Nothobranchius furzeri: one gene and its partners. The protein of the gene in region 3 interacts with the protein of the main gene of each other region in a biochemical or structural test. Links are inferred from orthologs where the notes say so. Each region holds a gene or a part of one and is shown on either strand. Other genes may lie near its edges.

Evidence for each region.
Region 1: the proteins of cebpa (region 3) and trib1 form a complex in vitro, tested with the Homo sapiens proteins (2 studies listed by BioGRID and IntAct, with this or other methods). The link is inferred for Nothobranchius furzeri from reciprocal best matches to the Homo sapiens genes CEBPA and TRIB1.
Region 2: the proteins of cebpa (region 3) and cdk2 form a complex in vitro, tested with the Homo sapiens proteins (2 studies listed by BioGRID, with this or other methods). The link is inferred for Nothobranchius furzeri from reciprocal best matches to the Homo sapiens genes CEBPA and CDK2.

Annotation. Positions count from the first base shown.
Region 1 is NC_091759.1:11,616-15,817, forward strand, and holds the start of trib1 (tribbles homolog 1), read right to left. Parts: upstream 2,801-4,202; 5' UTR 2,219-2,800; coding exon 1,907-2,218; intron 566-1,906; coding exon 273-565; intron 1-272. UniProt on the Homo sapiens protein: Adapter protein involved in protein degradation by interacting with COP1 ubiquitin ligase. The COP1-binding motif is masked by autoinhibitory interactions with the protein kinase domain.
Region 2 is NC_091743.1:49,088,353-49,092,585, forward strand, and holds the start of cdk2 (cyclin-dependent kinase 2), read right to left. Parts: upstream 2,801-4,233; 5' UTR 2,659-2,800; coding exon 2,543-2,658; intron 1-2,542. UniProt on the Homo sapiens protein: Serine/threonine-protein kinase involved in the control of the cell cycle; essential for meiosis, but dispensable for mitosis. Phosphorylates CABLES1, CTNNB1, CDK2AP2, ERCC6, NBN, USP37, p53/TP53, NPM1, CDK7, RB1, BRCA2, MYC, NPAT, EZH2.
Region 3 is NC_091749.1:66,139,114-66,143,207, reverse strand, and holds cebpa (CCAAT/enhancer-binding protein alpha), read right to left. Parts: upstream 2,801-4,094; 5' UTR 2,402-2,800; coding exon 1,529-2,401; 3' UTR 439-1,528; downstream 1-438. UniProt on the Homo sapiens protein: Transcription factor that coordinates proliferation arrest and the differentiation of myeloid progenitors, adipocytes, hepatocytes, and cells of the lung and the placenta.

The DNA of each region.
Region 1 (4,202 bases), on a different chromosome or scaffold from region 3:
GCTCAGAAAAGAAAGAAAAGTTGAAATCAAATCTTAGTGTTTTTTCGTCCATGGAACATCTTTCAGGATGTAGTGACATCTAGTGGTAAATTTGCAGATTGCAGCCAACTTTGTCCCAAAGGTCGAACTTCTTTCGACGTGAAATTCAAGCTGAATTTTTGTGTGTGATCATTTAAAAACCTAAAAGTCATCTTCTGTGCTTTCTGCTGGTTGAATCAACATAAAAGCACAACGGTTCTCGCCTCCATAAAGAAAACATCAGATCGGCTCACCTTTTCTCATCTGCAAAGACAAACTTGCGCAGTTTGAGGTCACCCAGCACGATTCCCTTCTGGTGGCAGTGCGCCACAGCCTGAGCCACCTGGCGGAAGAGCCTGCAGGCGTGTCCCTCATCCAGCCGGCGACAGCTCTTCACCAAGGTGTGCATGTCCCCAAAGTCTTTGTCCAGGAAGATGTAGGCCTTGCGTTCACCAAGGATGATGTCCCGGATGCCAGCCACGTTTCTGTGAGCTGGTAGAAGCCCGTAGGCTCTGATCTTCTCCAGGTAGGCTGCCATGTCAAAGACCTAGCGGAGAGATCAGAGAGGAGGAAGGGGAGGTGTAGGGATGCAGAGTGGAAACATGAAGGAAGGAGGCAATAAGAGTCAGTCTTCCTATCATAGGAGGTAACAAGTGGGCAAATATAAATATATATTACATGTATGATTTTCAACGGCTGCTTTTTGCAAAAGTGTTTTGTTAAATGATTGAATTCATAATCAAAAAGGCCTCCAGGGATTTTGTTTTCATGCAAACCTAAACAGAATCTGGAGTATGGGGCACCAATTAGAAAATGTGACTGTTGGAATTCTGGCTTGTGAAAAGGAATTAACCTAAAAAAAAGTGGGTTTAGGAGTGATATGTGAAACAAAGTTTATAGGATTTACAGAAAGCAACAATTGTTTAAACAAAATTCTGCAGGTGTATATGAATTTGAGCACTGTTGTTGTATTTGATTCTAAATATTTAGATTTTTACATGAATATAAATATTTTGATTAGATTGTTGCTAATTAGATGGAACTTTATGTACTAAATGTAATTGTATTCTAAATGTTTGATTTGATTACTTATTTAGATTGGATTATAAATGTTTTGGTTAGAAACTTCAATGTTTAGAAGTAACTTTTCATATTCATTTTTGATTCTAAATATTTTGAATTCATTGCTTAAATTTTAGATTTTTATAATAAATATTTAGATTTTTGTCTTAAATATTTAGACATAACTTATATTTAGACAGGATTCTAAATATTCAGAATTGATTTCTTAATATTTAGATTTCATTGTAAATATTTAGAATTTAGCCTTAAAAATATAATGTTTCGATTTGATTGTAAATATTTTGCATTAATTGCTTAATATTTAGATTTTTATTCTAAATATTTAGATTTAGATATTCATATTTAATCGTGAATACTTATGACGGTCACCATTACTTGAAGCTAAATCAGGCTGGGATTTTTTTAATGCATTACGTCACCTGATGCCTCATACTGGTGCAGATATGAGTTTTTATCTGGATAGATTCTAATCTTGCATTATTATTATTCTGCTGAACATGTTGCATTTTACTGTCACGGCTTGGCAGTGACGTGTATGCAAATGAGCCGAGTTGAGAGACAGTGTGAATGCTGAGCATGGGAGACTGTTTCCACAACATGCAGAAAGGCGACGGCTGGTCTTGATTGCGTATTTAAAAGACTTCTGGTTATAAGGGGGGAAGCATTAAGAAACATTATTACGCAAAGGGAGCGTGAGGATGACATTTTGCTGAAAAGGTGAGCTAAATACGGATAGCGTGTCAGACGGACTGTTGAGCAACATCATTCATTCAAAGAAATTGCACAATGACCTGATTGCGCATACCTTGCACAGCAGCTCATCGCCAGTATCGGTGTTCATCGCACTGTGCATGCTCTCCCGGTCCGCGAGCGGCAGCAGGAGGAACGGACCTATCCTGGACGGTCCCTGGTGGTGGGGAGCCGGGTTGGCCGCGGGGTTGAGCGGGGACCCGGGTGACGTACCCAGGAGTCCCTGCGCGTCCCCCGCCTCAGCGCTCAGCCGGGCGCACTTGGCCGGCGGCTGGTCGTCCGAGTCCAGCCGCTTGTGCGCGACTCTCCGGGTGCAGGGTGCAGGACTGCTCCACGGCAAGTTCATCCTGAACGACCGGCTCGCCATGAAGATAAAATGATATAGATGTGAATAAAATCAAGCAAAAAGATGCGTCCCTTGGTGGTTAGAACCCACTCCGTCTCATAGCTGGCACAAATCAAACTTTACGCGTTGGCTGATAATCCAGACCGCGTCCTTCTTCTTCCTTTTGAGGTTTGGATCAGAAAAAAAATCCACAATCAAGGAGGGAAAAAAAAGAAAAGAGAGAGAGGGAGAGAAAGAGAAAGCGGGGGAGAGGAGGGGAGACCGCCTCACACTCAGAGAGAGGCTGAGAGTGAGAAGCTCCGGTGATGAGCTCTGAAACACTCCGCCCGACCAGTCCAGCCTCCTGATGACACAAGCGTTGAGCAATCCTGTAGCGGCACCGACTCCAGCTCACTGTGCGCGTGTCTGGTGACGCTAGATTTTACCTTTCAGAGAAATCAGGATGTTGAGAGTCTCAACATTCCTGCACTGAGCTCTGCGATTCCGCTGATACATAAACAAGAACGTGAACGCACCACCGGGAATGAGACCCGCCTCTCACACCTCATCACGTTTCAGACGATCATTAACAAACTCGGAATTTTCTGATCTTCAGCTCATGTTGCCATTTATCACCAGTTAGAGCAGCAAACAGGAGAACTTGTCTTCCTCTTGTGATTAGAATAAAAAGCTCCTGAAGAAGATGAATGTCATCTCACTTTCAACAGGGGTGCCCCTAAGTCAGGTCAGAGGGGGGCACCCCCCCCCCACTGCCCACCCCCAAATTGCCGTTAATTGATTAAAGATTGATTTTTAAATATTTTTTTGTGGAAAATTAAATTAAAAATGAGGAAATGAGCTTCGGTGAGGTGCAGCGTTCACAGTCGCTGGTCATTTCCTTAAGAACACTTGATGAACTGCTTGCTAACACAAATAGCTAAGCAGTCATCTTATCTTAATAATGTTTTAGATAAGTTCCAATCAGGCTTTCGTAAGATGCACTGTTCCACTGAAACAGCTCTGTTAAAGGTATCTAATGATGTACTGACTCTGGCCCATGTACTGTACTGGTTTTATTGGATTTGTCTTCAGCTTTTGACACGGTTGACCATAAAATTCTGTTACATCGACTACACAATGTCCTAGGAATTTCTGGTACGGTTCTGAAGTGGTTTTCTTCCTATTTAAATAACAGAACATTCTCTGTATGTGTAAACAAGATTAGGTCTGAAGTCACATTTTTGCTTCACGGTGTTCCCCAGGGCTCGGTCCTTGGCCCAGTTTTGTTCCTTTTATATATTTGCCCTCTTGGGGAGATTATTAAAAGCTTTACTAAAGTGTCCTACCATTTATATGCAGATGGCATTCAACTGTACTGCTCTTTCAAGGACACAGAGTTTAACAAGTTAGCTGATCTACTTGATTGCATTGAGCATATTAAGGACTAGCCAGTAACTGTCTTCAGTTGAACTCAAGCAAGACCGAAACACTGATCATTGCTCCTGAACAGAAAGTGCTTTTAATCAAACACCTCGGTTCCCTGAGCTCCTCAGTCCAGACCAGTCTCAGAAACCTTGGTGTTCTTCTTGACCAATCCATGTCTTTGAGCTGCCACTCAAAACGTTTAGTAAAAAACTGCTTTTTATCATTTGCGAAACATTTCCAAATTGAGAGCTTTTACTTCAAAATCGGACTTGGAGATGATTATCCATGCTTTTATTTCTTCTCGTTTATATTATTGTAATTCTATCTTTACTTGTTTTAACAAATCAGATGTCAGTCGTCTCCAGTTGGTCCAGAACGCTGCAGAAAGGCTTTTAACAGGAACCAATAGAAGGGCTCACATAACACCGGTTTTATATTCTTTACATTGGCTACCGGTCAAGTTTAGAATTGATTTAAAAATTTATATGCGGATGACATTCAATTTAGTTCTGACTTTTAGAGCTCTTAATGGACAAGCTCCACAATATTTGTCAGACCTTTTAATCCCTCACTCTTCTGGCCGCACTTACGGTCCTCGAGT
Region 2 (4,233 bases), on a different chromosome or scaffold from region 3:
GTAAAACGCAAAATGCTTTTCATGTCACGCAGCTGCTCTCCTCATATCCCAAATGGTCCCGATGGTTGTTGTCACTGCTTCTGCTGCATGCTCGCGTTCATTTTCGCTTTTGTTTTCGTCCTAACGGCTCACGCCATATTGTCTTTTTATTGTTTTTATAGATGGTGTTGGATACGTCTGTACGGGGAGTTAACCGAGGTTAACAGTCAAACCGGTTAATCCCTGCAACCCTAACCTCGAACGGATTAAATTATGGCGTACTTTGACGGAATAAAAATTTTAAAGGTGCATTATGTAGAAATGAAGTCAAAATTTTATCCTGTGCTTTTTGCCGGCAGTTGTCAAATTACAACTGTCGGCGCTGCGGTATTAGCTTGCAGTAGATATGGCACCCCCTCACTCACTGATGGTAAACAGTAGTTACGACCCTCCTTTTGTTTTGAATGGAGAAAAAGTGGCAATCCCCACAACCAGCTGGATATGAAATATGTTTCAGTGTAACCTTTCTTCCAAAATGACTGAAACATTAGACTCTTTTGGGACTTTCTCACTGTAAAATTCTTACTATATTCTTACACTTTTAAAATGTTTTAATTGTCTATGGACGCGCTGATCAGTGACGTCACTCATTGCAAACATGCTGATGATATGCTGACGTATTTGCAAAGTCCTGAAAAGGCTGATTTTGTACAGACACAACGGCTGAAAACACTGATCCATTGTGTTTTCCTGGAACTTCAATAGTGGAAACATGGCTATCGAGTACGCTAAATGATCCCACACAGCAGCAGATGGTGCCTTTGCTAGTTTAAGGTCAAATTCAACAATAAGAAAGAGATGAGACAAAAAAGCCTCTATGGGACAGTTCCGTAAAACATCTCTGGTGACCACACAAAGACCCATCTCACCGTCTCCAAAGAGCATCTTGATGATATTTTAGAAAGTGGAACACTTGTTTAATCAATGCATTTTTGTAGTAGTCTCTAGTACTAATAAATGACGAGTAAGTTGTTTGCAGGGGGAAGAAATATCCCAGTGCACCATTCTTCTGACCTAAAATTTGCCCACATCACAGCAGACCTTCTGATGGCAGGATTTGGAGTCTTTTTCCTGATATTTGGACATCTCACTCCGGATCGGACAACAGCAATGCAACTCGACCACTGATTTGCAACATAGACATTTTATCTCCACAAATAACACAAGGCTGGAGGAACTTCGGCTGTGTGGTGGCATTGCTAATGCTAAAGGTTAGCTTGAATTAGCTGAGAAGTTCTCTGCTGTTTCCTGGACACTAGAACAAAAAATTTACTGGACACTAATCCAACAACACCCAAGATGGGTGAGTCCATGAATGTTATTCAGTGTGACGTAGATCTGTCAGGCTTTTCTAATTCTAGTTTCACCGTCTATTTTCTATCAGAAGCTAATGCAGGAGAAAGGTGTGGGAGACTATTTTCATGTTCAGTCTGCATGAAAAACTCAGTAACCATAATCAGGAAAAACATATTTAAAATGGTTTTTCAGTCAACAGCATCTTTGAGACTTTTTTGAAAATATTCTCTGGAGTGGTGAGACTATTTTGGTGAAAAACTAACTTCAGAAACACATCAATATACCAACAGTCAGACACGGTGGTGGCAGAGTGATGGTCTGGGGCTGCTTCAGGACCTTGACCACTTACTGTAATTGATGGAACCATGACTTCAAACATGTCAACCCACTCGTTTGGCTGGAATAAAACAATGTCAAAAAAATGTGGTCTAGGAATCCTTCACAGCAATGTAAGCCTTGTTATTAGTTCTCACAGATGCTTGATGGATGTTTATGCAGCTAAGGGTGTTGATTGGTTGTTTGTTTCCTTAATAAATAAATTAAATCATCATTTGAAAACTGCTTTCTGTTTTTACTTTGATCATCTCTGGTATTTGTGTTGGAAGACATCGATAAGGATCCAAATGCTTTTTTCAGAGTGCTGAAGTTTGGGTATGTTGGTAGTTTGACAGCTTGAGATACTGAAAGGTACCCTCCTACAGCAGCAAAACTATAAAACATGTCCATTCAACTAATAAATCAACCAAAGGAATGAAACAGAATAGCATTCAATGTAGAGTCAGAAAACTACTTCTGATCACTCACTAGTAACATCTGATCGTAGACTAAAACACAAGACAATGAAAAATTCCCTTAAATAGTTACATATTTCACTTGCTCAGACGCTTTTACCCAAAGCGACTTGCAAAAAATTGTAAGTCGCTTTGGGTAAAAGCGTCTGCTAAGCACATAAGCATAAACATAAACAAACATATCCAGCTAACCTACAGGGTTATATCCAAGGATGCTACGTCACTTAGTCCTGTGTGGAGGTTATATTAGGCACTGAATAATTACAGTTTAACGAGAAACGCTTATTTCTGTTGTTGCAGGAAGTGGGCAGACGATCACCAGCCACGAGGTCGTGGATAAAAAAAAAATCTGAAGCATTAGTGGATGTTTTTAGCGCGGCGTTAGCTCTGGAGATAACTCCTGCCTCTTAACTTACGTGTCCAGGCGGATTTTCTTCAGAGCAACAGTTTCTCCGGTCACTTTATTCTTGGCTTTGTACACCACTCCATACGTCCCTTCTCCTATCTTCTCCACTTTCTGAAATGAGTCCATTTTGCTTACAAGAGCGGGACTGTTTAAAGTTTAGCTGCTTAGCAATACTGGTCTCTTTGTGTGCGCGCTAGCAGCAGCAGCGACAGCGGCTCGGTGGCTACAGAGGGGCGATGTTAAGGAGCAACGCGGGGACAAACCGACACTAACCGCCGCCCCGGCTCCCTTCGGCCAGTCCGGAAACAGCCGAGCGGGAGATAGGGGGTTCGTGTAGAAGATGAAACGCTCTCAGATCAAACGACAACACAAAAACAGGTATATGGGCATGTGTGCCCAGCCTCGATAGTAATTATGTGGATTAATTCAAAAGGGGAGCGCGACGGTCGCAGCTCAGTCCACAAAACTGAACCAACACAGCGGCGTTTCCCGCGTTGTAAGAGGAGCGTTCGTTTTTGACTTCATGATACACCGATTATTTCGAATGGGTGGCACTGTACTCTTTATTTTATTGCTTATCTTGCAGTGTTCTCACAGGGGACCGCTATGAATGAATCCAACGCTTTAGATTAGATAAAAATGTTCACAAAAGTACTTCTGGTGTTTGTTAAATTTAACGTGTTGTTAGAAATCACCAGAAGTTGGGATGAGACGGAGACACTAAATGAGCAGCCCTCACTGGTCACATGATCAAAATGGATGACGTACCCTGACGTCATCTTAGAGGGATGTGGAGTGCTTTTGTTTGTAAAAAATGTGTTTATAAAATTATTTTCTTGTCAATTAGATCTAATTTCACAAACATTAATTCCATTTTAGCCTACCATCATATAAGTTTAAAGTTGCCATTGTTAGTTTTTTAAACATTTAATTAATTTCTTTACCTTAGAACAGGAGTCCTCAACCAAGTTTGGTCCTGAGGTTTTTACAGTAGACGGGCCAGATGCACTCTAAAATAACTAAAAGCATTATTGTATCTTAATTTATCAATAATTTAAATGACTTTGTTTTCCACCTAAACTGTCTTCATTGTAGTTTTAGTTGTGGTTGGAGAATGTAAACAATTATTGGGGGGGGGGGGGGGGGGGGGGGGGGGGGCAAAGAATTGGGACTACAGCCCTGCACAGGCCTAAAATCTGAGCCCGTGTCCGCCCGGCCCGAGGGGGTGGAGCCCCAGCCCAAACCAGTCCGAAAAAGTTTTCAGGATTCTCTGGCCCAACCCGAGCCCGAGGCCGACTTTTTTTCTTTAACCTTTCATGATGTTTTAGCGTGATAGAAGGCTCAGCATTCTAATTATCTGTGGGAAGCGTTCCGTAGTAAAAAAAAAAAAAAAAAAAAAGAAAGGAAAGAAAGAAAAACAGCATTCAATGCAGCTTTTTTTTCTAACAGCGTATTTTTCGAGCAGCAGATGAAATTTACGAACACTATATTAATTGGATGCGTTTGTAAATTTTATCTGCTCTGAAAATGCGCTCTTGTGCAATTAGGAAAAAAAAAGCAGCATTCTAATTTTCTAACTGCAGAGCACATTTTCAGAAACACCCCCAATTAATATAGCGTTTGTAAATTTAATCTGCCACTCTGAAAATGCGCTCTCCAACCCAGTAGTGAATGCTGTATTTTTTTTTTACTGCAGAGCGA
Region 3 (4,094 bases):
GCTCCTTTGTTCGTCTTGTTGTTGAAACTTTTCTGTGTGCCGCTGCTGGAAGCTGAATTTTCCAGAGGAACCTTCCTGAGGGATTATTGAAGTTCCTTCGGAACATCTGAGGGAGTTCCGATTTTACGACATGATGGCAGGTCGCCTGCAGCAGAGTCATGACACAAACAGAACCTTAAAGCACAAACTGAGGGAATAATAATCATTTAAATACACAGGAAACAGAAGCTGGAACCAGTAGATCAGCTGTCTGACGCCTCATTAAGCAGCTGGTTTTAGAGTAAAAATGAATATCTTTGACTTAGTGTGTGTGTGTGTGTGTGTGTGTGTGTGTGTGTGTGTGTGTGTGTGTGTGTGTGTGTGTGTGTGTGTGTGTGTGTGTGTGTGTGTGTGTGTGCACATAGAGCCGAACACTCTCAGAAGAACACCAGAACCAAATTTGATAAAACAAGTTTCTTTATTACTTCAGATTTTGGTTTTTCATTTATATTTTATGTTTATATTACAGAAATAAACAACAAAGTGCTTCTTTCTTCCTCCCTGGAACAAGTCAGAGAACCATCTGAGGGATCGGACAAAGGTCAAAGGTCATCTGAGCGATCAAAAGGCACTGAGTGAAGATGACTGCAACAAGCAGGAAGATGAAGAGTGATGCTGAAACCTGGTTCACATTTAGCTGTTCTGATCACAATAAAACATGTTTAGAGGGGCGTAGTTCTGTTGGGTTCTGTCCAGAACCTGTATCAGTACACCCCCTCCCCATGATCAGTACCATCACTGCCTCCCCATGTCCCACAATGTATCTGGCTTTAGTGCATGAGAGCTTCAGTCTGAACAGGGTCAGGGTTGGGCTTGCAGGGCTTTGGCGGTTCTGTTTGTAACGGTTTCAGTACCGAACAACCCTCAGCCTGGCTTTGCTAGGGTCATTCAGAACTAGTTTTATTAAACATGGGTTCTGGCTCTGACCCAAACTCCCCAGACAGTTTATCTCTGGCAAGTGTGAAGGTGAGTTTGATACCACGTGGTGTCAACAGCCAATCACCTGCAAAACACAGTTCAGCCAAGCAAACAGCTCAGAAACAGGTTTCGGTCCGGTTTGGTTCCGTACATGAGATCGTTTGTGATTAAATAAAATTCTGTAATGAAGGCGTCGTGCACGCAGGCTGGTCCCGCACTAACCTCATCGTAGCTGCACTGAAATGTTCTGAGTGGTTCTGGACTCAGTCTGTTTAAGGCACTGAACATCTGATTCAGCTTATCGGCTTTTGCACAAACGTTAAAGGCACGAGAACACGACAAACAAATAAACAAACAAACAAGTTAAAAGTCTCCAACGGGTTCAGTTTGTTGATGGAAGAGTTCCGTTCTGCTGCTCTGAAGATTAAAATCATCCGGAACCGAACCGGGTCTGTTAAGTTTTCTGCTCCTTGACCCAAAAGTTCTGCATATGTGCAGCTGTTTTGAGAACTCAGCTGCTTCTGTCTCTAAACAAATCCAGCACTCTCCGGTCCAGTCCGATTCAGATCTCTCAGCTGCCCATGGGTTTGAACGACCCGTCCGGCAGCTGTCTGAAAATGCCCCGTAACGTGTCCAGCTCCCGGGTCAGGTGCTCCACCCTCCGCCTGAGCCGCTCGTTGTCGGTCGTCAGCTCCACCACCTTCTGCTGGGTCTCCAGGTTCCGCATCTTGGCCTTGTCCCGAGACTTACGCACAGCCACGTTGTTGCGCTCGCGCCTCAGCCGGTACTCCGGACTGCTCTTATCCACGTGTTTCTTAGATTTCCCGCCTCCCCGCTGCTCGAGCAGCTTCATGCCGCCCTGCTGCAGGTGCTGGTGCGTGTGGTGATGGTGCGGGCTCGGCACTGGAGTCGGTGGAGGCGTCGGGTGGCCCGGCTGGAGGTGCATGGTGGTCTGCGCGCAGTGCGCAATCTGGTACTGCAGGTGCGGCATCTGCGGCTGCTGCTGCTGCTGGTACTGCTGAGGATGCGCGTGCGGGTGGTGGTAGGAAGGGGGCATGCCCGGGTTCAGGTCCTCGTCATCCCGGGGCTCCTGCTTTATGGCCACCGGTCGGAGGCGCGGCGGGTTGTGCTCGTAGAACGGCTCCAGCTTGGACTCCATGTAGTTAGGCATGTAGAGCTGCTGTGGACCCGGACCGCAGTCATACTCTCCATTCATCATCTTGACTTTGTCCTGTCGCGAGTTGTGGTGGAACAGGTCCGCCAGGAAGTCGTCGTTGAAGGCAGACGGATCGATGTAGGCGCTCAGGTCTATGGAGGTCTCGTTGTCTCCGATCTCCCCCCCGAGGTCAGACGGGTCTCTATAGCCGGAGGGGGGCTGCTGGCCGTGGGGCAGACTGCTCAGCAGGGGCCGGGGCGCGACCTCGTACAGGTTCGAGAGCTCCATGGAGAACCTAAAGCCGGGCGGGCATGGCGAGGAGCTCCGGAAATCCAGTTTGGAAAGTCACACACTCAGGTGAGTCGGACCGCTGCGGACAGGAGCCGACCGGAACCAGAGTCTTTAGGACTGACTGACACTTTGTGTTGGAACGAAGAGAAGCTGCCGGTCCGATTCCTGGTCCTCAGTAACCTCCGAGCTGTCAAACAGCGGTTTTATAGTTGGAATGGGTGGGCGGGGACAACACCACACTCCTTCAGTCTGTCTGACTCGAACCCCTCCGGGACCCGGGTGGGACAACAGAACCCTGCAGGTTCTCGGAACCGATCATGATCCCAAGTGTTGTTTAAGGAGTTTGGGTCTCGCTCCTAGACTAAAGGTTCTGATCACCTGATGCGGATCGTCTCCCGAACTGCACCACCCCATCGGAACCAAAACGCTTGACTGATGTTTCGTTTACTTAAAAAAAGGTAAATTAACCAGAATTAAATTAGAATAAAACTTTTGTTTGTTTCACAAAAGAGTCCTGTGTGTGCGCACGCATGTTTTTATGCGCGTAAGTAAATGCCTGCCATACCTCTGTGTATGTGCGCGCGTTCACACACACACAAACACACACACACACGCGCGCGCGCGCGCGCGCGTGTGTGTGTGCGTGTAAAATGCGGGATGCAGCGCCCTCTGTCGGACGCAGACAGACACCGTCTGGTCTGATGTTGGTTCTGGTTCGTTTCAGACCGTATAGAACCGAGCAGAGATCCAGAACATCTCGCACCATCTTGGAGACCTTTGAAGGACCTTTTCTCCTTCAAAAACAACCGCTGGATCCTGTGTTCATGACAGAGATGCTGTTAGCTCTGTTCTGCTAGCATAGCTGGTGGTCTCCATGGTAACGCTGTTGGCTACATTAGCATAACTCCTGTTAGCATAAATAAGGGTCGGTTAAAATGCCATTTCCTCGTCATAAAGATAGTGTGTTTGTTTTAATGAGTATCATTTTAGTACAACATGTAAAATTAGAAATTAGCCCAAATAGTTGTAATAAGTCTATTATTTCGTTGTAAATAAAGAGTGATATTTTAACCACATAGTCCCCATCTGATTGTCTCCCTGAGAGGACATGTGTCTCTGTCTCACTGACATCCGAGACACATATAAAGACTTGTCTTACTATAAACACATCACAATCATAGAACCACAGAACCCATCAGAACTATCTCTGAACATTTGTGATATGGGTTCCTGGGATCAATCTTTAGGCTCTGCAGAATCTGAACTGGTCCTATAGCTTTATCTGAACCTGAACGTGAACATCTGACGCACTCCTCAGGAGATGTATTGAGATGTGAGGAATCCCCCACTGAGACAGAATCTCTGGGTCTGGTTAATCCAGGAACATGGTCCAATAAAAAACCATATGAAATCTTTTAAGTACCTAAAACCTGAGAAGATCCAATCTGATCATGGTTGTTTGTTTTTGTACAGGCATAAAGAGCTGGTGAAACCAGAACTGGTCCAGTTCCAGCATCATTCAGCTTCACATCTCCAGCTGTGACCCTTAAGCAACTGGTTCTTTTTTGATTGTTGATTAAGATGAAGTCAAAAGTTGCAGCAAATAGAAGCTGTAGAGAGTCCAGAGGAGGTTTCAAGATATAACTGCCACTCTCATGAAGCCTCTTCTCATCCTAGAGCTGCATATCTC